Tamandua tetradactyla: one gene and its partners. The protein of the gene in region 1 interacts with the protein of each later gene in a pairwise test. Links are inferred from orthologs where the notes say so. Each region holds a gene or a part of one and is shown on either strand. Other genes may lie near its edges. The genes, in order: CYTH4, CNKSR1 and FOS.

Region 1 (9,941 bases):
TGAGCTTTCAGACCTTGGGATCTCCCTCCACCCCCACGCCCCATCCCCCCTGGGCCCCTCCCCCGGCCAGCTGTGTGTGTGCCCTGCTCTGATGCCCACTCTGGACCAGCTCCCCAGCTCCTCTCCACTTCCCCTTTGTCCTTCCTCTTTTCCATTGTATTTTTAGAAATCTTTCTGCTAGCAGCCCGCTTCCAGGACAGCTGGCCTCGTTTCCCCTTTCCAGGGCAGGAGGAGGGAGCCATCCTGGGGCCCTGAGGGAAGAGGCCCCACAAAGTCTCAGCATGGGGGGCACCGGGGCAGAGGGGGGTGGTGTCTGGTGGAGCTGCTCCACGCCCCAGCCCTGGAGGTCCTGCGGGCGCCACGTGTGACTTCCTCTCCCCAAGCTGAGCTGCTTCTATTTTTAACCATGGCCTGTCCTTTGTACCAGCCAAATGCTTGTCTTGGGTCATTTTGGAGTACTGTTACCTGGCCCTCGTCACCTTCCCAGCAGCCCTGGGGGAGGAGTCCTGACCTGCTTCTGGGATGTCACACACCCATAGTCAGGAGATAGCCCTGGGGGGACCTATGTCATCATTCTTTCCATTATACAGGTGGAAAAACTTAGGCCAAGAAGGAAGCAATCCATCATGGCCACCATCATGTAGCTGAAGAGCTGGGACCAGAGCCATGTGATGGCTCCAAGTCCCTGTTCATTCCCTGCTTCTCCAGGTCAAGCTGGGCTGATGCATCCATTTACAGATGATGAATCTGATCTCAAGAGGGGAAGTCACCTGATCATGGTGAGTGGGGGGTGGGGGATGGGGGAGCTGCAATTAGGATCCAGTCTGGGTAACAGAGGAATGACCTACCTTCTACCTCCTCCAAGAAGTCCTCCCAGATTGCCCCTCCTAGGGTAGGAAGAGTCGCTTCCGCCCACACTTCAGGCTTGTGCCCGTTTGCCATCTGCCTAGGTCAGAATCCTACAGGGTGTCTCGCCCTCCCCCATGTCCTGCACCAGTGGCTCCCTACTGTCCCCAGCATTGCCCAGTACAGGACCTGGACACCCAGGATGGGTTATAAAACAAATGAATGAACAAACGAACAAATCATCGGAGACCCAAATCTTCCAACAGACCACCTACATTGCCCCCAGTCCATTTCCTCTCTCAGGCCAGTGTGAAGCACAGCAGTGACTCATCTTCCGGCCTTCCCTGGAGGCCCCTCCCCTCCCTTCTCTCTCCTACGGCCAGGCGAACCTCGGGCTCTTTCTTTTCCAGCATACCGGTTCTTGTCCCTGCTCTGCCACTTCCTGGCTATGTGACATTGGACAAGCCAGGCCTCTGGGGGCCTCGTTTCCTCATGTGCATCATGGGGACAGTCATCCCTGGTCCTAAGGACTTCAGCCTGTTAAACTGCAGAAGAATGAAGCAATAACGGTGGAAAGACAGGCCGTGGGAGGGGGGAGGCAGTTCTCAGCAGGATGTCATCACCGCCCCATCTCACCTTCACGTCAGCTCTGCCACTCATCTGCTGAGTAACCTTGACCCAGACACAGCCCCTTGCTGGGCCTCTTCTCGCCTCCTAATACCCACCTAAGACACATTCACTGAGCTGTACAGTCTGAGCCATCTGTCCCCAAAAAGGCCACAGGAGAAGCAGGGGTGTCAGGGAGAGAGCACTGGACAGAGCGTCAGGGGACAGGGGGTGTGGCCCTTCTCTCGGCCTCCTCTGACACATCTGTCAAACGGGAGCTTTTGAAATGGGCCAGTGTTTCTCTAACTGTGTTCCCTGGAGCCCTCCCTGGTCTACTTCATGGGAGGTGGTGGGTGGGACGTCCAGAGATGGGGCCAGAACTGCTCAGTCTGTGTTGCATTTCGTTTGAAGAAAGGGTACTGTTGCTAAATGAACTGGAAGTCATCTCAACTTCAGGAACTGGACAGCTTCTCCCAGCCCTTATGTTCTGGAATTCCAGGCAATGCTGGAAACTTCTGAGACTCAGGATGCAGGGACATGTCCCTCTTCCAGCCCTTCTTTCTGCCTCATAGGGACACAGCCTTGTCCCATTCTCTCCCAACTTCATAGCCTTTTTTCCTCTTTCACCACAGAACTGGGGAATTTCTCAGCCACGGCCTCTCCCCAGCCCCCACCTCCCCCTTCTCATTCCAGTTCCCCTCCTTTGCCTCTGAGCAGCATCTTTGGCTTCCCCAAAAGGCCTCAGGGCCCTTGCACCGACCAGACAGATGTCACTATCATCAACACCATCATCACCATTACACAAGAAGCCTGTCTCGGTCCCAAATCTGGGCCTTCGTGCTGGCTGTCCCCTCTGCCAGGAAGGTTCTTTCTCCAGAAACCACATGGGCTGCTCCCTCCCCTCCCTCAGACTCTGCACTTTTGTCCACCACATTCATCACCAGCTGACATATTAGAACAGATTTATTGTCCATCCTCCTGCCCCACCCGCCCCCGGGAGAGCCAGCCCATGAGGGCGAGGGGGCATTTTGCCTGATTTGTTAATAGCTCTACCCCAAACTGGGACACAGCTTGACACCCACCTGGAGCTGTTGGGCTTCCCAGATACTTTACATCAATTCACACATTTAATCCTTCCAGGATCCTGTGAGGCAGGCACCATTCTTCCTATTCTACAGAAGAGGACACTGAGGTCCAGAGAGGTTGGCCGTCTTACCCAGGATCACACAGCGAGAGAGTGGAGGAGGGGACTTATGACCAGGCCTGGGAGCCCAGAGTCGCCTTGGGGTCTCAAAAGTCCTGGAGGCCACTGAAGAAACCCCCTGGCCAGGTCCAAGCCAGTCCAAAGTCAGAAGAGCCCACCAGTGTCCGGGGCCTGGTTCCCTCTTGCCCATGAAGCAGTGAGCAAGCTATTTACCTGCCCAGCCTCAGTTTCCATTTCTGTTAAACGAAGCAACAGTTCCTGCCCCCACCTTTTTATAGAGACTGCGAAGCTCACATGAGATAAGACAACTGCCAACCCTTTCTGGATGGGAAAGACTATTTTCTAGGGAACGGAGGGCAAGGTTACCCCTTAACAGGTGGGGATGCTGAGCCCCAGGGTCAGGTGGGCTTGCACAGAGCCCCCAACCTCTGTGCCCTGAGTGCTGAGTGCTCTGTCCTATGCCTGGCCTGTCTTGGTGCACGTTGTGGCCGAGGAGCTCAGGGTGGCCCCAACTCCGTGGACTCCCCCATGTACAGGTCTCTGAGTGCAGAGTCCAGGGAGGGGACCCAAAGCTGACTGGAGGTGGGGTGGGGCAAGCCTGGGTCTGTGAGGGTCTGGGGGAGGGGTGCAATGGAGGCCCGGGCCGAGAAATGCAGTCTGGGACTCCCAATGTGGGGCTGGGATGCCCACCCTGGGCATGTGCCCCTCCCTTCCCACCTCCCCCATGTCAATGCCCTCCTGGGAGGATGCTCACCCTCTCAAACTGGCCATCCCCTCCCCTCCAAGAGCTGGTCTACCCCGGGCACAGTGCTGGGATCCTCCTCACAGGTGCCACCTGTCCCTGTGGAACCCCTCTCAGCCCTCCACACGCAGCTTCCCACTGTCCACCGTTTCTCACTGCACTGCCTGGGAGGTAGAAGGACGGTGGCAGGAGCCCCCGTTGCAAAGTTCTAAATTTGATTCCTCCTGCCTCTCTGAGCCTCTGTCCCCACCAGCCCCAGTCTTCTCTGCAGGCCCTTTGGCGTCAACTTTGTCAGTCCTGCTGAGCATTGGCGGGGGACAGGGGTGCTCGACAGGAGGTATGTCTCGGCCTGTGCCCTCCGGACTCCCCCTGCCCGTCCACTGTCCTCCTCATGGAGCTGAGGTTGTCACTTGCACGCACCTACACACTCACAGCCTTCCCCGCAGCCCCTGCCCTTCCAGGCGCTTACCTGGCTGACACAGGTCCATTCTGAAGCCCCCAGGGAAAGGTGGCCGTGCTACTGTGGTCTGCCGACCCAGCTGCTGCTCAGACTGGCCACCAGGGATGCGTCACCCCCACTGCCAGACCCTGTCTGGCGGCCCCGCCCAGCCCTGTGTGGGGAGGAAGTCCTGGCCCGGCCCGCGGGGTCTGCCGCGCAGGCTCTCCACGCAGCAGCACTTCCTAAAAACCAGCAGTTTTGAGTAGCCTGGGTCCTTTGCATTTTGGGTGTAAACAAGGGAGAAATAGAAAGGAAAGAGACAGAGAGAGAGAGGAAAAGAGAAGGCAGCGAGACAGAGAGAGAAAAACACTCACAAAGAGTGTGACAGCCACTAGCAGACAGAATCTGCTCTAGGACGCAATACACATTTATGCAGCAACCCCCCCTACATATAAGCCAACAGACCATGCAACTTGAACAGGTCAAGCCTGACCCCGGGTATTCCGGTCCACAGAATTTCCTTCACCAACTTCCACCTGAGGGAAAAGTAAAACAAAACGAATTCAGTGCTAGGAAGGGCTCTGTTTCCTCTCAAAGAAATGTCTGCCTTTTTCTTGTCTAGTGACCAATTGGGTAATGTGTTCAGTTTCCCTTTCCCCCTAGGCTGCTGGGAAACTCACAGGCAAATCTGATGTTTATTTATACCTGTTCTATTAAAGCATGTAGACTTTGGGGTCAGGCTCAGCCGTTTGACTCTCAGCTCTGCCACGCAGGACCTGTGTAAACTTGGGCAAGACGCTGACCTGCAGTGGGCCTCAGTTTGCGCATCTATAAAAGGGGAATAATTATTCTCACTTCAGAATTATGTAAGAGACAGAGTGAGATAATGTGTATAAGGTGCTGGAATGTAGCAGGTGCTCAAGAAACTCTATCTTCTTTTTCTCTTTAGAGTTTTTAAAATTAATTAAAAAAATATATGGCAACAAACTCAAACATTCGTAACTTATGATCATTCCATTCTACATATATAATCAGTAATTCACAATATCATCACATAATTGCATATTCATCATCATGATCATTTCTTAGAACATTTGCATTAATTCATAAAAAGAAATACAAAAGACAACAGAAAAAAAATTCATACATACCATACCTCTTACCCCTCCCTTTCATTGATCACTAACATTTCAATCTAAATTTATTTTAACATTTATTCCCCCTATTATTTAATTTTATCCTGTATGTTTTATTCGTCTGTTGATAAGGTAGATAAAAGGAGCATCAGACACAAGGTTTTCACAATCATAGTCACATTGTGAAAGCTATATCATTATACAGTCATCGTCAAGAAACATGGCTACTGGAACACAACTCCATGTTTTCAGGCAGTTCTCTCCAGCCTCTCCATTACATCTTGGATAACAAGGTGATATCTATTTAATGCGTAAGAATAACCTCCAAGGATAACCTCTCGACTCTGTTTGGAATCTCTCAGTCATTGATACTTTATTTTGCCTCATTTCACTTTTCCCCCTTTTGGTCGAGAAGCCTTTCTCAATCTTTTCTAGTTTGCTAGCTGCTGGAATGCAACACACCAGAGATGGATTGGCTTTTAATAAAAGGGAATTTATTTCATTAGTTCTTCAGAGGAAAGGCAGCTAACTTTCAACTGAGGCTCTTTCTTATGTGGGAAGCCTCAGGGTAATCTCTGCTGGCCTTCCCTCCAGGCTTCTGGGTTCCAACAACTTTCTGTGAGGTGATTCCTTTCTGCATCTCCAAAGACCTGGGCTGAGCTGTGAGTGCTGAGATGAGGTATGCCGCGCTGCTTGGGCTGTGCTACATTGCGCTCTCTCATTTAAGCACCAGCCAATTAAGTCAAACGTCATTTATTACAGCAGGCACTCATCCTAGCCGACTGCAGATGTAATCAGCAACAGATGAGCCTCAGGCACCATTAGCTCATGGCCACGGCAACAGAACTAGGTGCCTTCACCTGGCCAAGTTGACAACTGAATCTAACTTCCACTTGTCTACCCCTTGTCAACTTGGCAACTTCATGCATCACCTTAAACAATATTAAGGTGCAAAAAATTTTCTTCTGGCTGCGGACCTGTGAATCTCAAAACAAGTTGTCTGGTGCCAACATGCAAAGGAGGGACAGTCACAAGATCTATAGGGAGAAATGGGAAGGAAAATCTACAGGGCAAACACCACTGGATTTCAAAGTCTGAAAGTAATTTATCCTTCAGCTTTAGAAGGTGGCAGTCCCACCCTTTCCAAGGGCTTATGCAGTGGCCTGCCTCCTTCCAAATCAACCTTGGGGAACGTTGAGGAGATCACCTTTTTCTTGTTTCCACTCTCTCCAGGCATCGGGGCCACCCTTGGGCTCTCTGCCATTTCTGGGGCACACACTCAACCCCTCCATGTGGTGGCAGCCAGGCTCTCCCCAGTCCCCCAAGGAGTGTGCTGTACCTTCTCCAAGGCCTGAGGCTGCACTACTCTTCCACTACAACGAGGTGGGAGACTCATTCTCACCCTTCAGGGTAAACTCATCCTCTCCATGTATATGGGTGGACTTCCACTCACCAAGGCTGACTTGGCTGCAGCCACTGCTGAGTGCCCAATCTGCCAGCAGTGGAGAGCCACACTCAGCCCCCGATATGGCACCATTCCCCGAGGTGACCAGCCAGCTACATGGTGGCAGGTTGATTACATTGGACCACTCCCTTCATGGATGGGACAGAGATTTGTTCTAACTGGAATAGACACATACTCTGGATATGGGTTTGCTTTCCCTTCACGCAATGCTTCTGCCAAAACTACCATCCGTGGGCTTACAGAATGCCTTATCCATCGTCATGGTATTCCACACAGCACTGCTTCAGATCAAGGAACACACTTCACAGCAAATGACATGTAGGAATGGGCACATGCTCATGGAATTCTCTGGTCCTACCATGTTCCCCATCGTCCAGAAGGAGCTGGATTGATAGAATGATGGAATGGCTTTTTGAAAACTCAGTTATGGTGCCAACTAGGTGGCAATACCTTGAAAGGCTGGGATAATGTTCTCCAGGAAGCTGCATATGCTCTGAATCAGCGTCTGCTGTATGGTGTTTCTCCCATAGCCAGGATCCATGGGTCCAGGAATCAAGGGGTGGAAATGGGAGTGGTACCACTCACTATTACCCCTAGTGATCCACTAGGAAAATTTTTGCTTCCTGTCCCTGCAACCTTGAGCTCTGCTGGTCTACAGGTTTAGTTCCAAAGTGGGGAGTGCTTCCACTAGGAGAAACAACAATGATTCCATTGAACTGGAAGTTAAGACTGCCACCTGGTCACTTCGGGCTACTTATGCCACTGGATCAACAAACCAAGAAGGGGATTATATTATTTTCTGGGGTGATTGACTCTGACTATCAGGGGGAAGTAGGACTGCAACTACACAATGGAGGTAAAGAAGAGTTTTCTTGGAATATAGGAGATCCCCTAGGGCATCTGTTAGTACTACCATGCCCTGTGATTAAAATCAATGGAAAACTGCAACAACCCAATCCAGGCAGGACTACCAATGGCCCTGAAACTTCAGGAATGAAGATTTGGGTCACCCCACCAGGCAAAGAACCACGGCCAGTTGAAGTGCTTGCTGAGGGTAAAGGGAACATGGAATGGGTAGTGGAAGAAGGTAGTGATAAATATGAACTTTGAGTATGTGATCAGTTACAGAAACGAGGACTGTAATGCTGTTTTGTTTATGTTATACTATTTAAGTTGTAAGATATCAAGTTTAAGAATGAATGGCAGGACGCTTGCCTGCCATGCCAGAGGACCTGGGTTCGATTCCCGGAGCCTGCCCATGTACAAAAAAAAAAAAAAAAAAAAAAAGAATGAATATTACCCAAGGATTTGTACCCTATTCTGGAGAGATTTAATGTGTTTCCAGTTATATGTAGGACCATTGAGTATTGTTAGGTAAAAGAAAAATGTGTGTTTTATTGTTTTTTATTTAGAAATTAGGTATGGTTTAAGATGGTATGTATAGCTGCCAAGTTGACAAGGGGTGGACTGTCATGGTCAGGTTCATGTGTCAACTTGGCCAAGTGGTGGTACCTGTTTGTTTGGTTGGGCAAGTGCTTGCCTGTCTGTTGTCATGAGGACATTTCATAGAATTAAGTCATGATCATGTCAGCTGCATCCACAGCTGATTCCATTTGTAATCAGCCAAAGGGGAGTGTCTTCTGCATTGAGTGATGCTTATCTAATCACTGGAAACCTTTTAAGGAGGATTCAGAAGAGACAGTCTCTCTTCCTGCTTTGGCTGGCGAGCCTCTTCTGTGGAGTTCGTCCATACCCTCCATCGGAATTGTCGGCTTCACAGCCTGCCCTGCGGATTTTGGACTCTGCATTCCTGCAGTCACGTGAGACACTTTTATAAATTTTATATTTGTGAGTGTTCCCTGTTGATTCTGTTTCTCTAGAGAACCCTAACTAATACACAATCCCTTGATGCTGAGTCTCAGCTCCTTCTAGGACTTCTGTCCCACATTGCCAGGAAGGTCCACATCCCTGGGAGTCATGTCCCACATAGACAGGGGGAGGGTGGTGAGTTTGCTTGTTGTGTTGGCTGGAGAGAGAGGCCACATCTGAGCAACAAATGAGGTTCTCTTGGGGGTGACTCTTAGGCCTAATTTTAAGTAGGCTTGACCTATCCTTTGTGGGGTTAAGTTTCATATGAACAAACCCCAAGATTGGGGGCTCAGGCTATTTATTGGTTGTCCCCAGTGCTTGTTAGAATATCATAAATTCAACTTGGGGAAGTTGAATTTTTCCCCTTTCTCACCATTTGCAAATACTTTTTAATTCATTGTTCAAATCACTCTGGGATTTATTGGGGCATCACTCTGGACAAACCTACAAAATCTCATGCCCTACTCAAGGTTCCATATACTTATGGTGTTCAAGTAAGCTGTCTGCATAAGTTATATTAGGAAATGCACTAGTCAAAATATAAATTTTGTACCAAATAAACATTTTTTGCTTTAGTCTCACACATAAGGTGAAATTTTAAAATATTAATTACCATCTATTTTCAGCACCCTGCAGTAATAACATTCCTTTGTTCTTCCTCATGCACAAACATTTTTAAAATTTGTACATTTAGTCACTATTATTATATACTCTAAGCATCCCTAGGGTATACCATCTCAATCTTTAACGTCTACCTTTCTTTCTGATTTCATTTATGTCCCCAGCCTTCCTCCCTCTGTCATTCTCACATGCAGCTTCATTCAGTGTTTTACCATAATTGTATTACAGTTAGGTAGTATTGTGCTGTCCATTTCTGAGTTTTTATATCCAGTCCTGTTGCACAATCTGTATCCCTTCAGCTCCAATTACCCAATATCTTACCCTATTTCTATCTCCTGATGGTCTCTGTTACCAATGAAATTCTCCAAGTTTATTCACTAATGTCAGTTAATATCAGTGAGACCATACAGTATTTGTCCTTTAGTTTCTGGCTAATCTCACTCAGCATAATGTCCTCAAAGTCCATCCATGCTGTTACATACTTCATAACTTTATTCTGTCTTACAGCTGTATAATATTCCATGGTATGTATATGCCACAGTTTGTTTAGCCACTCATCTGTTGATGGACATTTTGGCTGTTTCCATCTCTTCACAACTGTAAATAATGCTGCTATAAACATTGGTGTGCAAATGTCTGTTTGTGTCCTTGCCCTCATGTCCTCTGAGTAGATACCTAGCAATGGTATTTCTGGGTCATATGGCAATTCTAGATTTAGCTTCCTGATAAACTGCCAAACTGCCTTCCACAGTGGTTGTACCATTTGACATTCCCACCAACCGTGGATAAATGTGCCTGTTTCTCCACATCCTCTCCAGCACTTGTCATTTTCTGTTTTATTGATAATGGCCATTCTGATGGGTGTGAGATGTTATCTCATTGTGGTTTTGATTTGCATTTCCCTAATAGCCAGGGAAGTTCAGCATCTTTTCATGTGCTTTTTGGCCATTTGTATTTCCTCTTCTGAGAAGTGTCTGTTTGGGTCTTTTGCCCATTTTGTAATTGGGTTGTCT
Region 2 (9,911 bases), on another chromosome or scaffold:
GGCAGTCGTGTGTTTGTGTGTGTGTGTGCGAGTGTGAGTGAAAAAGAGATGGGGTGTATAGCAGAGAGACGGCTGAGACTTTTGGTCCTGGCCTCCCTCACAGCATGAAAGACCTTCCAAGACAGTGGTTCCCAAACCAGGAGCTTGCTGAAGATACACCGCCCAGGCCTCAGCCCACACCTGCTGAATTAGAATCTCCTGAGCAAGGTTCCTGAATTTATGTTTGTCGCAAGCTCCTGAAGTGGGTGAAGGTGAGGCCGATATTTGGGAACCACTGATCTGAACTACCCTCTCTTCCAAATACCTAAAGTTTCTTTCTTCTGTTGTTGATTCTAAGGAAATGATCCCTCAATGTAGATGTGAACGGTAGAGAGAGGGGATTCAGGAGCCCATAAATACTTTTTAGCACCCCGATCCCAACAGCTGAGAAGTTCTTCCTGAGATCTAACCTAATCTCATAGTGTTGCTGATTCGGTCTCTTTCCTGCTTAGAGAAAGGAAAACAGCAGGGGCTGCCCCTTCCTAGCCCTCTGTGATATGAAATACAGACAGACCAGATGGAAAGAACAGGGAGAAGGGATCTCAAACCCCACACCCCACATACATACTGGTCTGAACAGGGCTCCGGTGGCAGCAGCTTGTCCTCGTCGTCTTTGTTAAACAGAGATGACATGGTCAGCCAACCTTTCACCCCAACCCCCTGAACCTAGGATAGAGGGACTGAGAGTCAGGAGAGGGCCCTGGGACAACCTACCAGGGCTCCACAGCAGCCTCTGCCAGGCTCCCCAGGGGCAGGACCAGATCGGGGTGGAAGAAGGGAAAAGAACTCACCCGGCGGGCCAGCTGTGACATGGGGTTGAAGGCCTCTTCGGCCGGTTCTGCCATCCCAGACTCCACCAAGGCTGGGTTCTCCCTCTGGGACACAAGACCCCCGCCTGGCATGAGAGAGGCTCCAGAGAAGTGGGAGCCATCCCACTGCAAGCCAGGCACATGCAGACCAGGCACTCCAAACCCCAGAGAGTAAGCACTCACTTGTACATCTCACATCTTCTACAAGGACGCACGGGGACACATACAGGTATACTTCTGTACAGAGCTACAGTCATACACGCACACCTGTACAGTCAGTTCCTGCAGACACCCTGAGTACACATACCTGTCTACCCACCGACACAAAGCCACACCCATACACACTGAAGACATGTGGACAAGGTCATGCACGCTGATTGTAGACATACATGAGCAGGCTTCCACCTGGCTGCAGAGTTTTACATCTGTACATGGATGTATGTACATGGACACGCACATAGTTATGCCATTTACACCTGTCCACATGTACACTTATAAAACTGCAGGCAGCTCTACAGAGACCCACCTGTAGCACACGAGAACCTCTCCACCCACACACAGACACTAGGACAAAAAATGTACACACACTCCTGGGTTATATTGTGGGCCCCAAAATGATATGTTGAAGTTCTAATCCCTAGAACTGTGAAAGTGACCTTATTTGGAAATAGGGTCTTTGCAGATGCAATCAAGCTAAGACGAGGTCATTCTGTATTAGGGTGGGCCCTAATCCAATGACTGGTGGCCTTATAAGGACAGGAGAGGTCCCGCAGAGACAAACACAGAGGGAAGACAGAGGCAGGAATTGGGGTGATGCAGCTACAAGCCAAGGAATGCCGAGACACAATGAAAGATTCTTCCCTACAGCCTTCAGAGGGAGCATGGCCCTGATGACACCTTGATTTCAGACTTTCAGCCTCCAGAACTGTTAAAGAATAAATTTGTGTTGCTTTAAGCCACCCAGTTTGTGGCAATTTCTTATAACAGCCCTAGGAAACCAATACATACCCAAACTCACATGCATGCACATACACACACACAAAGGTGTGCAGACATTGAATTCTGCCCCAAATGTGCACATCTTAAAAGACCTGTACCTAGTATATACCTGCACATATACCTTCACTGGGGATGGCACATGGAAGTCAATCCCAGTACCCTCCCAAGGGTATTTCTTTGCAAGCCCAATGTTGGATGGTAGCCAGTCTGGAGATGTATTCGTACATAGGACTAGTTCCTGCCTCTGCCACATCTGTCTGCACAACTGCCATTTATCATAGCCTCTAACCTAAGACTGTTTCCAGTTTGAGATCACTGTTAGATTTTTTATGTCAGGATAAAGCTTGGGCCAAGTATGGTTTTGATCCGATGCTGCCCTCAGAGTAATCCTCAGAGTAGAGTACAAGTTCCACTTCCCTTCCCTCTAGTAACAGGGTTTGCTACCTCTAGAGGCGAACCATCCCAATTCTGCCCAGCTCTCTGCCTGTTAGAAAGCTGTGTCAAACCGAAATGTACCCCATGTGACTACTGCCTACCAATCCTAGAAGTGTGTCTTCCTCACGTCTGGTGGTTGCTGGCAATCATTGGCATTCCTTGGCTTGTAGCCACATCACTCCAATTCCTGCCTCTGATTCTCATGGCATCCCTCGAGATCTTTGTAGACTGTGGACCACTCTTCTCATTCCCACCCCCATCACTTTTCCCCCAGTTTTCCCAAAGTTTTCTTGGATATCCTGGCTTTCTGATCTGACACTCCACCGTCCCTTTTGCCACACCCTGAATGTGCCAATGGTTTCTGCATCAATGTGCCTCTCTCTATCTCAGAGCCTTCCCCTTGCTGTCTTAGTATCTCTCACTCCTACTGTCCCTCTGCCCAGGTCCACCCAACAGGATACTACCTACCTCCTCTGCCAGGTCCTCCTCAGATTCCCCACTCAGTGTCTGCAGTACTTTGGACTTGTAGGTTTTCCAGAAGGCCTGGTTCATGGCTACTGCAGGGGGAGACCTGGCAGCCAAGCACAGGAAGGTGGTGGCTCAGTGGGCACCCAGTGTCTCTGGCTCCAGAAACATGGCGAGGCCAAGATGCTGTCCCAAGGATCGGGTAACTTCATAAAAGATGCACCAGCCTCCTTCAGCTGGCACAGTGCCCAGCTGTTGAACCTGATCCAAAGGAGTCTGGAGTGGGGTGGGGCCGTGAGACAGAGCGGGCACTATCACCTCAGCTCTTCTCTTGACCCATCTTGATCAAGAATAATGAAGACATCTCTCCCCTCTGAGGCTGATCTCTTGGAATGGCTCTGGAAGAATCCTCTTTCTCATTCACAAAGTCCTTGGGTGCAGGTCCCATCCTGGTGCCCCTAGGACTGTAGCCATGCTGGGCCCTCAGCAGCCCTCACCCAAGTAGTGTCCCACTCAGCCCCTGCAAATTGAAGTGAGAAGGTCCACAAGCCCCAGACGGCACCCTGGGTTTACATTTCACTGCTTTGTCTGGGCTGGAAACTGACTCCCTCTCCCTGGGGATGCACCTGCCTGTCCCTGTTTCCTGGCTACAGTTTCCAAAGAGCTGGAGCCCCTGAATTATTGCTGAGCACCTCTGGCCCTAGCCCCAGGAGCTGACTCTGGCCAGCTGGAGAGGCACCAGGCTCTGGTGGACGCGGAAAGGCTCTCTGGCGTGTAACATCTGAGCTACCAACCCACACCTGGGGAGTCCACGGCTCAGAGAAAAAGGACAATAATAGGGAGGTCCTTTTCTGAGCATTTCCTCCTGGGCCGACAGGATGCCTGACTACTGTGACCTCCGGGGCGGCTTCGGAGGGTGGAGACCTGAGGGGAGAGTTAGGGGACCGTGAGAGGTGTCAGGGACTTGGAGATCTCAGCAAGCCCTGTGGCGCCGAGCTCTCAAATGTATTCAGACTCATTCATTTATTAAGTTATTCACATCACAGACATTCATAACGGCTTCCCAGAGGCGTTCAAAAGATCTCCCATCGCGGAGTCTAAGGTTTGGGAATCTTAACGGGTGAAAGTGCCAGGGGACGGCACTAAGAGCCAGGGATGGCCGGGGGAGGGGGGAGCGTGCAGAGCCGCCAGACCGGCCCCAGGAGTCCCCCAGTCACACGGCTCCCGCCCAGCGACTGACCCGGGGACCTCGAGGCCAGGACGGAGGACACTTCGTCTGCCCCCTCCCCCGCCCCGGGTTTACGACACTGACATCGACGGCCGCCTGGGGGCGCTCAAGTCGGCCCGGGCCAATGACGTCACCAGGGGCGGTCTGGCGGAGCTTGCACCGCCCCCGGGCGTCGCGTGACGTCATCGAGCGGTCCGGAAGCGCTAACACGTGCTACATCCGTCCCCGCCGGGTCCCCTGGCCGGGCTGCGACCCAGCATGGGTCGCTCACGCCGGACGGGCGCGCATCGAGCGCACACACTGGCCCGTCAGATGAAGGCGAAGCGGCGGCGGCCGGACCTGGATGAGATTCACCGCGAGCTGCGGCCCCAAGGTCCTCCGCGGCCCCAGCCCGACCCGAATGCCGAACCCGACCCGGACCTCCCAGGGGGCGGCCTGCATCGCTGTCTGGCCTGCGCGTGAGTTTCGGTGGGGTCGGTCTGGAAAAAAAGAGGCGGGCTCTCGAGTTCGGGCCCCCGGTCGCGCGACATCTCCCTCCTTGGGACCGATGGGTCTGCTGGCTTGCGGGAGCCGGGAGTCTGGGACGTAGGCGTACGTGAGCGATACCGCCTCCTCACCCTCCACCTCACCTCCCATCCCTGCAGGAGGTACTTCGTCGATTCCGCCAACCTGAAGACCCATTTCCGATCCAAGGACCACAAGAAAAGGTATGGAGAGCATTGATGGTTGGGGGCTGGGCAGGCAGGACTCCCATCTAGTCAGCTTCCAACTCCTGCCCTCCTTTCCTCAGGCTGAAGCAGCTGAGCGTGGAGCCCTACAGTCAAGCAGAGGCGGAAAGGGCGGCGGGTATGGGCTCCTATGTGCCTCCTCAACGGCTGGCGGTGCCCACAGAGGTGTCCACTGATATACCCGAGATGGACGTGTCTCCGTGACATGGTCTGAGGATGCAGGGCAGGAGAACTGCCAATGGACAGTGATGCCTAGTCTGGGAGAAACTGTGCTGACTCTTCTGACCCTGGGTTTGAGGAGTAAACGGCTGCTTCTGGGTGCCTACCCACAATAAAGGAACTGGACAGAGGTCTGGCCTCTGAACTCCTGACTTCGAGGCCAGAGACCCCTGCCTCCCCCAAACTCTTGCCTTGTACTGGTTTCTCTCCTGTGTGTAGGGCCCAGCATGTCTACCTCTTCCTTTATGAACATTTAGAACCTGCACCCCCCCTTCTCTATGGGGCTCTGACGTATGACCTGGTGCCCCCTAAAAGAGCCCAGGTGCAGTGAGGAGGGAGTTCTGATCAGGTGTATTCTATACTGAGGGCAGAGACTGACCCCCAGGAAAGAAAGAAGCTCCCAAGATTTCATCCCCTCCCTGAGTCACTTACCCCTAGGGCACAGGTGACTGGCCGCCTACTTCATCATGGGGCCTGTGGTGGCTGTCGCTGCTCCACCATCTTCCAAACACCATAGCAGGAGCTGCCCAGCCCGAGGACAGCCAACAGTGTGGCCACAACCCCAGCCACTGGGTTCCGGGGCTCTGCCTTCAGCAGTCCAGCTACTTGCATCTGGAGATGCACAGATGCCTGGGCTGTTGGTTGAGACTTGGGAAGGTGAGGGGAGGGAAGGGACTGAAAAGGTACAGCTGGATGGAGATGCAGATGCTGCCCCAGGGAGATTCCACCCCAATCCCTCTCGCTTCACTGCCCATCTAGGTCCTGACTACTCAGGCTGCGGAGAATATGCCAGCCTAGCTGGTCGGGTGTCAGCCTCACTATGGTTGGGGGAGGATGGGGTCTGTGGTACCCCCCGAAGCCAGAGGTTTGGGGTACTTACCTGTAGTACCCGGAAGTAGCCAGGGGTCAGGCGTCGAAATCGCATGGTGAAGGGGGTGCTGGTCACCCTGGGGGCCTGTTGGGGTAGGTGAAGACATGAGGATAAGTGGTGTTCTTTGTGCCTAGGAGTGGAAGTCAGTGTCTAGTGGCCCCTGACCTCCCATGCACACACTGCACATGCTCTCAGTGGATGCTTACCAGTGCCTGCCCGCCCACGTCTGGCAGAGGGTAGGGCAGCTGGGACCTTTAAATCCAGTCCCTTCCCCCTGCCTGCCCATCCTGCCAGCCTCAAGTGCAGCTGTCAGGAGAAATCAGCATCAGGCCTGAGCAGCCCCTCCCCTGCCCACTGGGGAGGACAAGCCTGGTAGGCGGGAGAGGCCTTGTCAGTGCCAAGAGTCCCAGGCCTGGACCAGGTACTGGGAGGGCCTCCCTGAGCCCTGGCTCCAGTCCCTACCCCTACCTTAGATGATTGGTTGCCACCAATCAGCTCTCAGCAAACAAAGCTTGCTTTATCAGTCCCCTTGCCAGCTGCAATATTCCTCTCCACTTGGTGGTTTCTGCTAGAACAACCACCCTTACCCTGGGGGAGGGTACATTTCACCCCTCTCCCATGATGGGGTTCCCACAGGGACAGATCCATTTCTTCTCTAATCTTAGCTTGGAAACAGTAATACTGTAATGGGTTGTGAAGACTCAAAGAAAAAAATGTGTGCAGAGTCCACACCTTTTGCCCAGGAATTTCACTCCTAGGAATCTCTACAGCTATTACCAGTGCAGCTAAGCAAAGATGTATGTACAAGGGTGTTTGTGCAGCATTCCTTGTAGTAGTGAACATGTAGAGATAGCCTCAGTGCCAAACACTAGGTGAATGACTAAATGTGTTTCGTTCATTTTGTGAATACTATGCAACCAAAAGAAAAAGAAAAGGTAGATTTGCATTTACTGATTAAGAAGGCTATGTGATATGTTAAAAAGCAGTGGCTGGCAGAGCTGGATGCTACTCTAAGCCCTTTACTTGAATTATTTCATTGGTATTATGAATTTTGCATTTCATAATTTGTAGAACAGTATATAGAGTGTCTGCGTGTTTAGAGAATGGAAGGTTAGTGCAGAAAATTTAATACTGGCCTCTCTGGAGAATGGGTCAGCATCATGCTAGGAATTCTCCTTTTTTACTTAATGGCCTTTATTACCTTTGAAATTTTTACAGCAAATTTATAGAAATTTTATAAACTCATAACATTTATAAAATAGAAGCTGCCATTTATGGAGCCCCTAAGTGTCTGGCAGGTGCCGAGGACACAGAAGAGGGGCACTGTTACAGTTGTTAGGCCCCCTGTCCTTTGGGTAAGTAACTGGCATAAATGCGCGGTGGTAAATTCTCACCTCTTTCTCTCCTACAGGATTGTGAGTTCAGGGAGGGCAGAGTCTGGTGGGATTCTCATTTCGGTATCATGCCAGCTCAGTATCTGGTTGGTATTTGAAATCAGGAAGGGGAGGGAATAGATAGAGCTGCTTTTAGAATCCACTGGCCTTCCCCAGACTGTTGCAGGGAGGCTGTTGTACAAAGAGGGAAGAAAAAACCTATAATTTTCAGGTTCTCCCTGTAACTTAGAGGGGCCAGCCTTTTCAGAACATCAGCTAGTTCCATCTCTCTGATAAGTTAGAATGGGCATAGCCCAAATATCCACAAAGAGTAGGAGAAAGATCAAAGGTGATGAAGTTGTACAACAAAGGTCGGGTTTAACAAATGAGTATGATTGCTGAATCACTTTATTGATTTTTTTTTAGTCTCCAGTATCTTCAGAGCAGCTAAAAGTAAAAACCTAAAATTGTAGAATAGAAACCCATACCAAACTCTGAAATCTGTTCTACAACTAACTGTTGCACTGTGCATTGAAATTATTACTATTTACTGCTTTTTTTGTATATATGTTATTTTTCACAAAAAAAAAAGTGAAAAAAAATGTGTATATACCTTTTAGCCTCCAATGCTCTGGAGCAGCTAGCAGGAAAAGTCTGAGATGATGGTATGGTAGCCCGTGACAAACTCTGTGATCTGTCCTGTAACTACTTATTGAAGAATGCTTTGAAAACTATTGCTTTTTTCTTTCTTTGCTCTGTATATACGTTATATTATAAAATTTTAAAAGTTAAAAAAAAAAGAAAGAGGCAAGAATGTTGGAGGACACAGCTTGGACTAGTGTTCGAGAGACACAAACAGTATAGGGTGTGAAGGCGGGAGGTGAAGGACAGAGCCAGAGAGGTGACGGGGTGTTTCACTTTTGGAGTCTATTGATTCACTGAGAGGGAGGCAAGCCCTGTGGGGAGCTGAAGAGCTGGTGTCACACATGAAGGAAGCAGCCACTGATCCCTCCAGCTTTTGATGCCCTATAGAGGTGGGGTGGGGTTGCCAAGGCTGGCAGAGTTCCAGAGCAGCTGGTGATCCCAGTTTGTATGTGAAATTGTTAAATGTTAACAACTTAAAAGCACACACACAACACTGCAGGGGTCACCTGTTGGCCAAATCCAGACTCCAGGTCTCTGGGTTACAGGCAAGATCATGACAGTCTTTGAAGGCCAGGTGTTGGGATGCTGATAGAGATTCCAAAGTAGGTGAGACGTTAGGAGGGACCAACTGTGGAAAAGCCTCCCAGGCCTCATAAAATTAAAGCAGAAATAATGACTCAAGTCTCCCCTGTGTTACACATTTCAGAGTGCTTAGAGGAGCCTGTCGAAGCCAGTCTTACAGCCTTAAGAGCTGGGTATCCCCCTGTTCTAGTTTGCTAGCTGCCAGAATGCAACACACCAGAGACGGATTGGCTTTTAATAAAAGGGGATTTATTTTGTTGGTTCTTCAGAGGAAAGGCAGCTAACTTTCCACTGAGGTTCTTTCTTACGTGGAAGGCACAGGATGGTCTCTGCTGGTCTTTTCTCCAGGCCCCTGGGTTCCAACAACTTTCCCCGGGGTGACTTCTTTCTGCATCTCCAAAGGCCTGGGCTGAGCTGCTAGGCTGTGCTACCTTGCGTTCTCTCATTTAAGCACCAGCCAATTAAGTCAAACGTCACTCATTGCAGCAGACACTCTTCCTAGCCGACTGCAGATGTAATTAGCAACAGATGAGGTTCACGTACCATTGGCTTGTGTCCACAGCAACAGAACTAGGTATGCTCACCTGGCCAAGTTGACAACTGAATCTAACTAACACACCCTCCTTTAGAGAGGAAGGGGTAGGCTCAGGAAGGTGTATGTGTTGGGCTCAGTCACACAGCATGTGAGTGTGGAACTGACTTGGGCCTCCTAATTCCCAGGTCCTGGAAGTCCCCTGGCCTGGGATGAGGAGTAAGGATGCAGATGATAACTCCAAATACTTCCTATATGTCAGACGTTCTAAGATGAGAGCGCTTAACCTGGGGTTAAGAATTCAGTGGGTCTATAAATTTGGACGGGAAAAATTGTGTCTTTATTCTCAGTAACCTTTAATTGAAATTTACCATTTCCTTCACTTATGGATTGAAGTATTAGCAGAATCTGACTTTGTCACCAAAAGAAATCACTGACATTTTTATATCAAATTATTGTATAGTTATTGCAAGCATCTTGAAATACTGTTTATTCCTTATGACTGCTTCAAAATCATGGCAGTTTTAACCCCCCACTAAATCTCCCCAGATCACCCTTTCTGTTTCAGACTTTGCTTCAATACTGCTGGCCCTCAGGTAGGCAGTTCTGCCCCCAGTAGTGGGTCCAGGGACCACGGGGTATATTCTGTTCTCACGTGGGTGACTCAGGCTTTCTTCAGTCCTTAACTTACTTAAGCTGAACAGCAGCAGCCTTCACACCATCTTCAAAAGGGAAAAATTTAACATGAATTCCCAGTCTTGTTACGTAATGTTAATAAACATATACCACTATATCTAACTTCGTCCTTTTTAATATATTTTGGTAATGTTTGTTCTCTGTGCAATTCTAAGCGTCTTCTTTTATGGTTGTAAAAGCATTATTCTGAGAAGGCGTCCAAGGGGAAAAAAAAAGTCTTAGAGCTATTAGCTCAGGTATTCAGGTATTCGGGTGTTCTTTGGAGTAGGGGCTACTATATCCATTTTACA
Region 3 (10,140 bases), on another chromosome or scaffold:
TTAAGATCAAGATGCCTATAATATTAGCACAACTGGGCTTAAATATTCCCCCCTTCGACTATCAGAAGCAGAAACAAGTGTGCCCACAAAAAGTATTGCATAGGAGATGCTCCCTTCCCCCCTCCCACTGCACCCCAGTTGGTGAGTAGAGAATCTTAGCCTCACGATATGAAGATATATTTGTAAAATATTCCAAGATCAGTTCTGGAGTTTCCTTCTCCTCTTTGATAAGGGACCAGAAAGAGAGATGTGTCCCCCTCCACGAGCCACCCTTCCTGAAAGACAGGCCTCCAGTAAAACCTTTCTGATTCTTACAAAATGTCCAGAATGAAAAGAGCACAGGGTTTTTTGCATTCAACTTAAATGCTTTTATTGACAATGTCTCTGAACAATAAGCAAACAATGCTTAAATTTTTCATTCGAATTCACTTTCCACATGTCAAAAGACCTCAAGGTAGAAAAAAATAAAATAAAAATATAAATATCTGAGAATCCATCTTAATAAATAAATTAAAAACACAATAAAACGTTTTCATGGAAAACTGTTAATGTCAGAACATTCAGACCACCTCAACAATGCATGATCAGTAACATTACAACGAACATTGATGTTGGAGAAGAACTACAGTACATGGATGTCGCTATTTTTCCTATCTACTAGAAAATAAAGTCATATCTTTTCTTAGTTTAATATTGGTCATTTCTAATCAGAACACACTATTGCCAGGAACACAGTAGTTATCATTAAAATCAGCTGCACTAGATACAATTTGAAAATATCCAGCACCAGGTTAATTCCAATAATGAACCCAATAGATTAGTTAATGCTATGAGAAGACTAAGGAGAAAGAGGAAAGAGACACAGACCCAGGCCTGGCTCAACATGCTACTAACTACCAGCTCTCAGATGTGTCACTGGGAACAATACACTCCATGCGTTTTGCTACATCTCTGGAAGAGGTAAGGGCTTGAGTCCTCGCGTGGGATGCTTTCAAGTCCTTGAGGCCCACAGCCTGGTGTGATTCACGCACAGATAAGGTCCTCCCTAGGTCTACAGGAACCCTCGAGGGAAGACGTGTTTCTGCTCTCTGTAATGCACCAACTCAGGGAGTGGCACTTGGAGGTGCCTCCTGCCTCCCCTTCCCCGCCTGCTCACAGGGCCAGCAGCGTGGGGGAGCTGAGCGAGTCAGAGGAGGGCTCGTTGCTGCTGCTGCCCTTGCGGTGGGCAGCCGCACAGCTAGGGAAGGAGTCAGCCTCAGGGTAGGTGAAGACGAAGGAAGACGTGTAAGTAGTGCAGCTGGGAGTGCAGGTGACCACGGGGGTGCACAGGGGCTCCAGCTCTGTGGCCATGGGCCCCATCCCCAGGGAGCCGCTGTGCAGGGGCTCCCAGTCTGCTGCATAGAAGGACCCAGACAGGTCCATGTCTGGCACAGAGCGGGCGGTCTCAGAGCCACTAGGCCTGGACGATGCTGGGAACAGGAAGTCATCAAAGGGCTCAGCCTTCAGCTCCATGCTGCCAATGCTCTTGACAGGTTCCACGGAGGGCTTGGCCTCAGGGTCATTGAGGAGGGGCAAGCTGAAGGCCTCCTCAGACTCCGGGGTAGTAGCCTCCGGCAGGCCCCCAGGAAGATCAAGGGAAGCCACTGACATTTCTTCTGGGAAGCCCAAGTCATCAGGGATCTTGCAGGCGGGTCGGTGAGCAGCCAGGATGAACTCGAGTTTTTCCTTCTCCTTCAGCAGGTTGGCAATCTCTGTCTGCAAAGCAGACTTCTCATCTTCCAGTTGGTCTGTCTCCTGTATACAGAGGGATAAAGAAAAGCATAAGACACAGTCTTAATCAAGGACCCTGCTCCCTTACACCCCATCTCCAACTTTCCCCTTAAGTCTTAAAAAGGAGTGATCCATGGGGACCACCTACCGCTTGCAGTGTATCTGTCAGCTCCCTCCTCCGGTTACGACATTTTGCTGCAGCCATCTTATTCCTTTCCCTTCGGATTCTCCTTTTCTCTTCTTCTTCTGGGGATAACTAGAGTAATAATTTTTAAAACAGATCAACATCCAGTAACAGTGTCCAACATCACTTCCATCCACCCACTGCAGTGCAACTGGCTCCTGCAGCTTCCCAGCTTCCTGGCACCTCTTCTATGAAGCCATTTCTAACCTGCATTTGCAGGCTGGGTGTGACTTGCATTTAAAATAAGGGCCTCGGCAAAGGAACAAAGAAAAACCAGTCTAAATGCATAAGAGGGAAACTATAAAGGCAGAAATTATTAGAGTACTTCTTGGGGTGGGACGCTCTGGATCTGACTTGGGATGCAAAGGGCTTGGAGCCAGGGCTTCTGTTTGGGGTTGCCAGTCCATTTGATTAGTGGCTTCAACCTCTCGGCTGCTCCCCCATCTCCATCTTTCTGCACCCTCCGCTACGGAAAGAAGGTGCTGAAGAGCTCCTCACCTGTTCCACTTTGCCCCTCCTGCCAATGCTCTGGGCTCTGCCTCCTGTCGTGTTCTTCACAATGCCAGGCCTGGAATAAGCCGCTGCCGAGGAGGTGGGAACCCCATACGGGTGGGGGGCTCTAGTCTGCGATGGGGCCACCGAAGAGACCAGGGTGGGTTGCACCAGCCACTGCAGGTCCGGGCTGGTCGAGATAGCAGTCACCGTGGGGATGAAGTTGGCACTGGAAACAGCCAGATCCGTGCAGAAATCCTAGAACGAAAGAGAAGAGGGAAGCAAACGTGAGCAAGCCGGGTCCGGACACAGGTGGGGTGAGTAGAATTCCCAGCGCCACGTCCTGTCCTCTCATGTGTCCCTCATCCTGGGTAAAAGGGTTCCCCTTTTCGCCCCAAGAATTCCGCAGCACAGTGACTTTCTCCTCCATCCTGCTGCTGCGTTAGCGTTATCCCTTCAGCATCACTAGCTTGAAAGGGGGTTATAAATATCCCTGACGTCTACTCTGACGCAGGCGCCGCTCTGGAGTCTCCTGAATGAACTCGCTTTTTATCAATGAAACTGCCTTACACACCCGCCTGCTGCACCCTCTTCCCCCGCCCCTCCTCCCTGCTCCAGGCTACGAGGGGTGGGGGTGGCGGGGTGGGGGATTGTGGCTTTTTGACGCCTCCCCTGAGGCGTCAGGCTTTAGTTAGCGAGTCTGTTTGGAACACATTTGCCCCAGCACATGTCAGAGACCCAGCCAGAGAGCACTTGCCGGGGTCTACTAGTAATGAGCCCTCCGCGGGAAGAGGGAACCAATTCTTAGTATAGCAAGTGTGCGAGTGCTCAGAACGCTCGGGCTCCCGGGCTAGAGATGTTTCGGCCGCTGCAGCCTTTCTCCCCAGCGTCCCGCCCCGATGTCTCCTCCCCGGCGACCCCAAGCCCCGTGCCCAAGGAGGCACGATGCCGGCCTTACCTGCGCATTGACAGGGGAGCCCATGCTGGAGAAGGAGTCGGCAGGCGAATGGTAGTAGGAGAGGTTGTCCCCGGCTGGGGAGGCGCTGCTGCAGCGGGAGGAAGACGCCTCATAGTCGGCGTTGAAGCCGGAAAACATCATGGTCGCAATTAGTCAAAGCCGGCCGAGGGGCCGAAGGGCGGAGACAGGTGGGAGCTGTGGGACAGAGCTGGGTAGAAGCGCGGTCACTGCTCGCTCGCTGCGCCGCGGTCGCCGGCTGTGTCTCAGCTTCTCGGCTGCTCGCTGCAGATGCGGTTGGAGTACGGGGCGCCGCAGCCACCGCTTTTATAACAGCATTTTATGAATGAGCCCACGCGTCACGGCGCAACCATTTCGGCACTGGAGGGGTGACGCGAGAGTCTCGGCGCATCTGCCGCCGCCTTGCCGCCTCGGGCGTTCTCGCTGCCCCTGCCCTCGGTCTTCTTTTATGTCCTTATCCTGTGAGCGTTTAGTTCCCTGGGTCTTCGGGGTCTCTTGAGCCCCCAAGATGAGGGGCTTTGGGGATGGTTCCCCCCACGACCGCAGGGAACGGCCGTGGAAACCTGCTGACGCAGATGTCCTAATATGGACATCCTGTGTAAAGGGGGGAGGTATTGACGGGAACTGCTCGCAGGCAGCAGCCAACACCGAGGGTGCAGGCGGGGGGAGGTGGGGGCCGCGGCCGGGGGAGGGGAGGCGGGAAAGCAGGAGAACAGGAGCGAACTTTCGCAGCTTGTTCAATGCGGACCCTTGTTCCCGAGATGGGGGAGGGGAGGGGTGCTCCTCGTTACCAGTGGTACAGAAAACAGGGACAGTTCTGCGATTCAGGTGTAGGAGAAACAGGTAGGAGAAAAGCCCAGAAGGAATGCGCCCACCCCCATTCCCAATTCTAACCCTAATTCTCTGCAAAATGTGGAAGCCGACCCTCGTCCACCCGGACGGCGAGTCATACTAGGATTGTGACTGCGTTTGGAAGCAGAAAGTCGGGGTATCCAAAATAAGAGGATAAGATAACCTACTTTATGTATGATGCTTGGGGTTTTAATTTTATTTATTATTTTTGTTTTTAAGGAAGACGGTGCATATTTTTCTCGGTCTTATGTGAGACTGTTACCGTCACATCTCTAAGACACCAGCTGATAAACATTGTGCAAAACCTCTGGCAAGAGTGTCTGAAGGGGTCTTTGCCTCATTCTGAGCTGGTGGCGGGGAGCGCGTTATAAATGGGCGCTGTGGTCAGTTCAGGGTAACTTGGTGGGGGGAGCTTCTTTAGGGCGCGCAAGAGCGATTCGAGAAGGTGAGAGACTGGTTCAATCCCCGCCTAGAAGCTGGGCTTACTTGGAGCCCGCAGCGGGTGATTTTCCAGCGCGGATCTGGAGAGGGAGGGGCAAGGGTCCGGGCGCGCGGAGTTTTGTGCCCAGCAGAGATCTCCGCGGCTGGAGCCCCAGGCGCAGCTCCGCAGCCCGGAAAACGGGATTTCGAGGTGGCTAGGTACTTGGGTCGTGCCGCGCCCCCCAGACACCCTAACCTCCTGCCCCACTTGAAAAGACAGCGGGGTCACATCACTCTGGGTCGCCCCCAGCTCGCTGGCCACTTCTGGGGCGCGAAGCCCTTGATCCCCGCAAGAGTCCCGGCGCTCCCTTCCCCAGTTCCAGGGCCCGGGCAGCGGGCGGATCATTCTGGGCGCTCCCGGAGCTGGGGGCCGACCTGCTTCCAGCCGCCCGCACCCCGGAGCCAAGCGATCCTGCTATAGATAGTAACAGGGAAGCGGCTGTTTACAGCAACACAGCGCCGCCAGGGCGGTCTCCAGGCGACGGCGCGCGGCTGGGCGCGCCGTCCGCCTGGCTAGGCCGCCCTCCCTCTGCGCTCCCCCGGGGCCGTGGCCTCCCGGGCCCGGCTGCGGCCGCTGCCGCCGCCTGACATCATCCGCCGGGTCCGGGGGCTGAGCGAGGCGCGCGCGCGGCTATGCGCTAACCTCCATTCTTAGAGATCCGAACCCTGGGGGAGCAGGGAGGGCAGGGAGGCGGGGATTCGTGGAATTGGGCCACTTACTATTTTTGCATTCCCTGTCACAGGCAGAGGTGAAAACACAATTTCATCATTGTATGTCACTGGTTTATGTCGGTGGGAATTTAAGCTTTTTTTTTTCCCTCTCACTTAAAAAAAATAAGAGAGAATTGGAAAAACATAATATAGAAACACAGACTTCTTGGAGCTGTTCTGAGTCCTAAAGCAATTCTGAGACCTTCCAAACTACCTTCTGTCAACCTACTTTACTGTCCTTGGTTATTAAAAAATGTCATGAAGGCAAATCCATCTCTCTTCTTATTATTAGCTTTGGACAAAGTAGGTCAAGCTTTGAATTCCTGGGTCTGGCCTTGTCTTTGATTCACAACTGGATCTCAGAGCCACTTAAGAGAAAAACCTAGAATGATTTGATTTACTTCCCCTTCAAAGTTCAACCAGCTCAGACTAATACCTAAAAGACGTGTCAAGATTTTACATCCAGGATTAATACTATTCATCATTTATTCTGCCTTTGTCAATAAAAAGGAAAAGGGTCTTTGGGTGTGCCTCTCTCGTCCAGACAGCTTAACTCTTTCCTTCTTGGCACCATTATTACCAGAGAAGTGGATATTTAATAAATTCATCCTCTGAGAAGGACAGAACCAAGCACTCATTCGTTTATTTATTTGACAAAGAAGGATTGAGAGCCTCCTTTTGCTCAGCCCTGTGTCAGGGACCGGTGCTTACTGTAATAAACAGAGTTGGGCCTGTCTCCAGACCCTCCTGGAGATTCCAACCTCGTGGAGAAGACTGGCAAGTCAATTGAAAATTGTAGGACAGCAGTAACTGGTTTGACAGAGGGTAGCATAGGGTGCTACAGAACACAGAAGAGGGCTTGGGAAAAGGTCACAGAGAAAGTGACTGCAATACAGAGATGGAGCCTGGATCCTCTTTCCTCTGGGAAATTACATTATAAAGTTTGCAAAGGGCCAGAGCATCATCTAAGGAAGCTAGCACTCAACCAGAAAGAGATGTACCAGATGATACAAACTTAGACTCCCTCTCCCGCCCCACTAACATCTGAACCTGTGACTGCATTCTAGCATACTCTCACAACTCAGTCTACTCGTGATATTTCAGGACTGCAAAATCACATTTTTAAAAAATGGAGCTTGCACAATGTAGCCTAAAGATAAAGGCAAATCAGAACCAATGTGTGAAATTATCTTTCTCATTTGAAAAGTTAGGATAACTTTGAAACAGGTGTATCTCTGTGAGCATGGTGCTGCCTTCCAGCAGGCGGGCCTTGCAGGACGGAGATTCTGTGTTCTGGACAAGTCTGAGCATATAAAACCAAATCTTACATAGTTTGTGATGATCTGTTTGCTGAGTAACTCTTATTTGGGGATCCAAGTGTGAAAAGGAGTCCAGCATCTGGTTTTAACCCAAACTAAGCACAAATTAATTTTTCCTTAGCAGTATTTCCTTATCCAATACAGACTTTTCCTATTTTGCCCCCTCCATGTGGCATTCCCATTAAGAGACCTGAGCCTCATCAAACATTTTTTCGATAACTGCACATCGTGCGCATTGTTGAGCCTGGGGTTGTTGCAAAACTAAGTGAAAGGCTGCTGTCTGTGCCGCCTACGTAAATGCTGCCGTACACAGCCCGTCCCCAGCATGCAGAAGTAGCTATTTATTTGGGGAAGTGTGGTCTAGTGGTGAAGGGTTGTGGTCAGAGCACGGGACCAAAAGTCAGGAAGATGCGTACACAAAAATCAACTCTTTCAGGGGCTTGGGGAAGTCACTTCTTAGTCTTGTTTAGCAGCTATGTACTTTTGGACTTTGTCTTTTTCATGTGTCACTGTTCACATGGCACTTAGCACAGTGTCTGGCACTAGTAGGCATTCAATAAATATTCATTGAGTGGATGAATAAATGAATTGAATAAATGATGCCCCCCACCCAGGCGAGGTGAACAACAATGGTTGTACTTTGGGTACCCTGAACTCAAATAGGTAACGTTCTTTAAATCTTTGGAGTGGCTGAACAGGCTGTCTTTTACTCTTGGGTATGAATAGGCAAGAACTGGGAAAGAGAAAATAGCAAGATGTTTGGGCTATTTTCAGCTGGTGCAGCCACTGTGTATAAAGAACACCCCAGCAGTTCATGATGAAAGGTCATACATACCCTTGTTTCTCAGTCCCATGAGGAAGACAGCCAGTGCCCATACATCAATACCACGTTGTCTGCAATGACAATGACTGTGTTACTGCCACCCCCTAATTTATTCTTTCTGAAATGTCTGGTCCCTTTAAGCATTCAATAATTCTTGCAAGGCTCACACACACGTGAGCAAAAGGAAAGGCCTTCAAGGTCAAGGTTACTCACCCTATGGCTCAGACTGTGGGCAGAGAGATTGCCCCTATTTCAAAACAGTGGAGGCATCTAATTATCCACCCCCCTAACCCCCCCTCCCCCCCCCCACACACATATATGCCAAAACTGATTAGTACTAGGGATTCGCTTCTTTGGGAAAAATGATGTTTTCATTCTGAACAACTCTTGGCTTTTTGACAGGAGATGATGATTCAATGGGATCCCCATCCTTCTGCTAATGCCAGCATTTAAACAAAGCTCTGTGTGGTCCCTGGGACACATTCCATCTGGAGCTGAGGAAACTAGGGAACAGCTATGGTGTCTAAGATGAACATACTTTAGCCCAAAACCCTGGCCTCTTTCATCCCAATTGGCAGTATCAGGCAATCACCCTGTGGGTCATGCTGAATCTTGCTGAAGAAACAAGAGCTCTTCCCCGACAGACAAGCAAATCTTCTCCAGGTTCTCAGCACCTTAGGTGTCCTGAGCTGATCTGCAATTCTGGTGGACTTAGTTTCTGGGATTCCAGAGGAGCCCCTTCCACGTCACTAAACCTATAGGACAACGATACACCCTGACTAAGAAACATCAGCTGCACGGCCCCCATTCAACGTGGGAATCTCATAGTTGGGCTGGGCAAGGGCTAGGGTGAGCAGAACAGGCTGTTACATGATGTGTACCAAGGTGCTAAGGCATCCCAGGTGGAGCTTATACCATTTTATCTACTTACTCGACAAGAAAGATCTTTTTTTTTTTTTAACTTTCTTTTATTAATTAAAAAAAAATTAACAAACAAAACATTAGATATCATTCCATTCTACATATATAATCAGTAATTCTTAATATCATCACATAGTTGCATATTCAGCATTTCTTAGTACATTTGCATCGATTTAGAAAAAGAAATAAAAAGACAACAGAAAAAGAAATAAAATGATAATAGAGAAAAAAAAACTATACGTACCATATCCCTTACCCCTTGCTTTCATTTACCACTATTTCAAACTGAATTTATTTTAATATTTGTTCCCCCTATTATTTATTTTTATTCCATATGTTCTACTCTTCTGTTGATATAGTAGCTAAAAGGAGCATCAGACATAAGGTTTTCACATTCACAGAGTCTCATTGTGAAAACTATATCATTGTTCAATCATCATCAAGGAACATGGCTACTGGAACACAGCTCTGCATTTTCAGGCAGTTCCCTCCAGCCTCTCCACTACATCTTGAACAACAAGGTGATATCTACTTAATGCGTAAGAATAACCTCCAGGATAACCTCTCGACTCTGTTTGGAATCTCTCAGCCATTGACACTTTGTCTCATTTACTCTTCCCCCTTTTGGTAGAGAAGGTTCTCTCAATCCCTTGATGTTAATTCTCAGCTCATTCTAGGGTTTTTCTCAGTCCTTTGATGCTGAGTCTCAGCTTATTCTAGGATCTCTGTCCCATCTTGCCAGGAAGGTCCACACCCCTGGGAGTCATGTCCCACGCAGAGAGGGGGAGGGTGGTGAGACTGCTTATCATATTGGCTGGAGAGAGAGGCGATATCTGAGCAACAAAAGAGGCTCTCTTGGGGGTGACTCTTAGGCCTAAATTTTAAGCAGACTTGACCTACTCTTTGTGGGGTTAAGTTTCATGTGAACAAACCCCAAGACTGGGGCTCAGCCTATAGCTTTGGTTGTCCACACTGCTTGTGTGAATATCAAGAATTGACAAGAAAGATCTTTAGAAGAGACTTTTATTGCTCTTCTTCACTCCCCCCCCCCCCCCCCCAAATCTCCTTCCCTAAATCAGGAAAATCCTGACCAGTACTTGAGCATTTGGAGTTATGCTGCCTTTTGACTTGTTTGGAAAACAGATCATAGTTCCATCCTCAGATGTGATAGGTTTTTGTCTTAGTTTAGTATTTGATTGTATCCTACAAGAAAACTTCCAGTTGCAACTCCCAGCTGACGTTTAATCTTCCCCTCTGGTATTTTACCTGGAGTGTTTAATGAGTTAGAATTCACTGGTAAAGTCCCACCAATGACTCTACTGAAGAAGTCCACCTTTAGACCCTGTCCATGTGAGGTTGTGAGTTAGTTAGTTCAGACCGGGACTGACCTCACATTGTCAGAGTTTACTCCCCCCACTTAAGGGACTCTGAATTGAATTATAACACAAAAGCAACATGTTATACCTCCAGATTAAATCACTCCAGTTAGTTATCCCTCCACTAATTCTGTTTGGTGGCCAATTTACAGAATTGCACTTCAAAAATAATTATACTCCTTAATTGTGGTCTAACCTATGTAATTCAGCCGCTGCCTATCCCTCCAAACTCATCT

What was found.
Region 2: the proteins of CYTH4 (region 1) and CNKSR1 interact in binary tests that used the Homo sapiens proteins (3 or more experiments, as listed by UniProt). The two-hybrid records come from large-scale screens. The link is inferred for Tamandua tetradactyla from reciprocal best matches to the Homo sapiens genes CYTH4 and CNKSR1.
Region 3: the proteins of CYTH4 (region 1) and FOS interact in a two-hybrid assay, tested with the Homo sapiens proteins (2 studies listed by BioGRID and IntAct). The two-hybrid records come from large-scale screens. The link is inferred for Tamandua tetradactyla from reciprocal best matches to the Homo sapiens genes CYTH4 and FOS.

Annotation. Positions count from the first base shown.
Region 1 is NC_135333.1:29,587,064-29,597,004, reverse strand, and holds the start of CYTH4 (cytohesin-4), read right to left. Parts: upstream 3,985-9,941; 5' UTR 3,887-3,984; coding exon 3,868-3,886; intron 1-3,867. UniProt on the Homo sapiens protein: Promotes guanine-nucleotide exchange on ARF1 and ARF5. Promotes the activation of ARF factors through replacement of GDP with GTP.
Region 2 is NC_135328.1:200,015,050-200,024,960, reverse strand, and holds the start of CNKSR1 (connector enhancer of kinase suppressor of ras 1), read left to right. Parts: upstream 1-5,224; 5' UTR 5,225-5,387; coding exon of another isoform or gene 5,388-5,534; 5' UTR 5,535-5,802; coding exon of another isoform or gene 5,803-5,847; 5' UTR 5,848-9,911. Other genes in the region: C2H1orf232 (uncharacterized protein C1orf232 homolog), read right to left, coding at 608-705, 831-914, 2,751-2,834; ZNF593 (zinc finger protein 593), read left to right, coding at 4,234-4,433, 4,620-4,682, 4,766-4,907; transmembrane protein ZNF593OS, read right to left, coding at 5,388-5,534, 5,803-5,847. UniProt on the Homo sapiens protein: May function as an adapter protein or regulator of Ras signaling pathways.
Region 3 is NC_135338.1:34,375,907-34,386,046, reverse strand, and holds FOS (protein c-Fos), read right to left. Parts: upstream 3,720-10,140; 5' UTR 3,546-3,719; coding exon 3,405-3,545; intron 2,705-3,404; coding exon 2,453-2,704; intron 2,027-2,452; coding exon 1,919-2,026; intron 1,795-1,918; coding exon 1,153-1,794; 3' UTR 345-1,152; downstream 1-344. UniProt on the Homo sapiens protein: Nuclear phosphoprotein which forms a tight but non-covalently linked complex with the JUN/AP-1 transcription factor. In the heterodimer, FOS and JUN/AP-1 basic regions each seems to interact with symmetrical DNA half sites.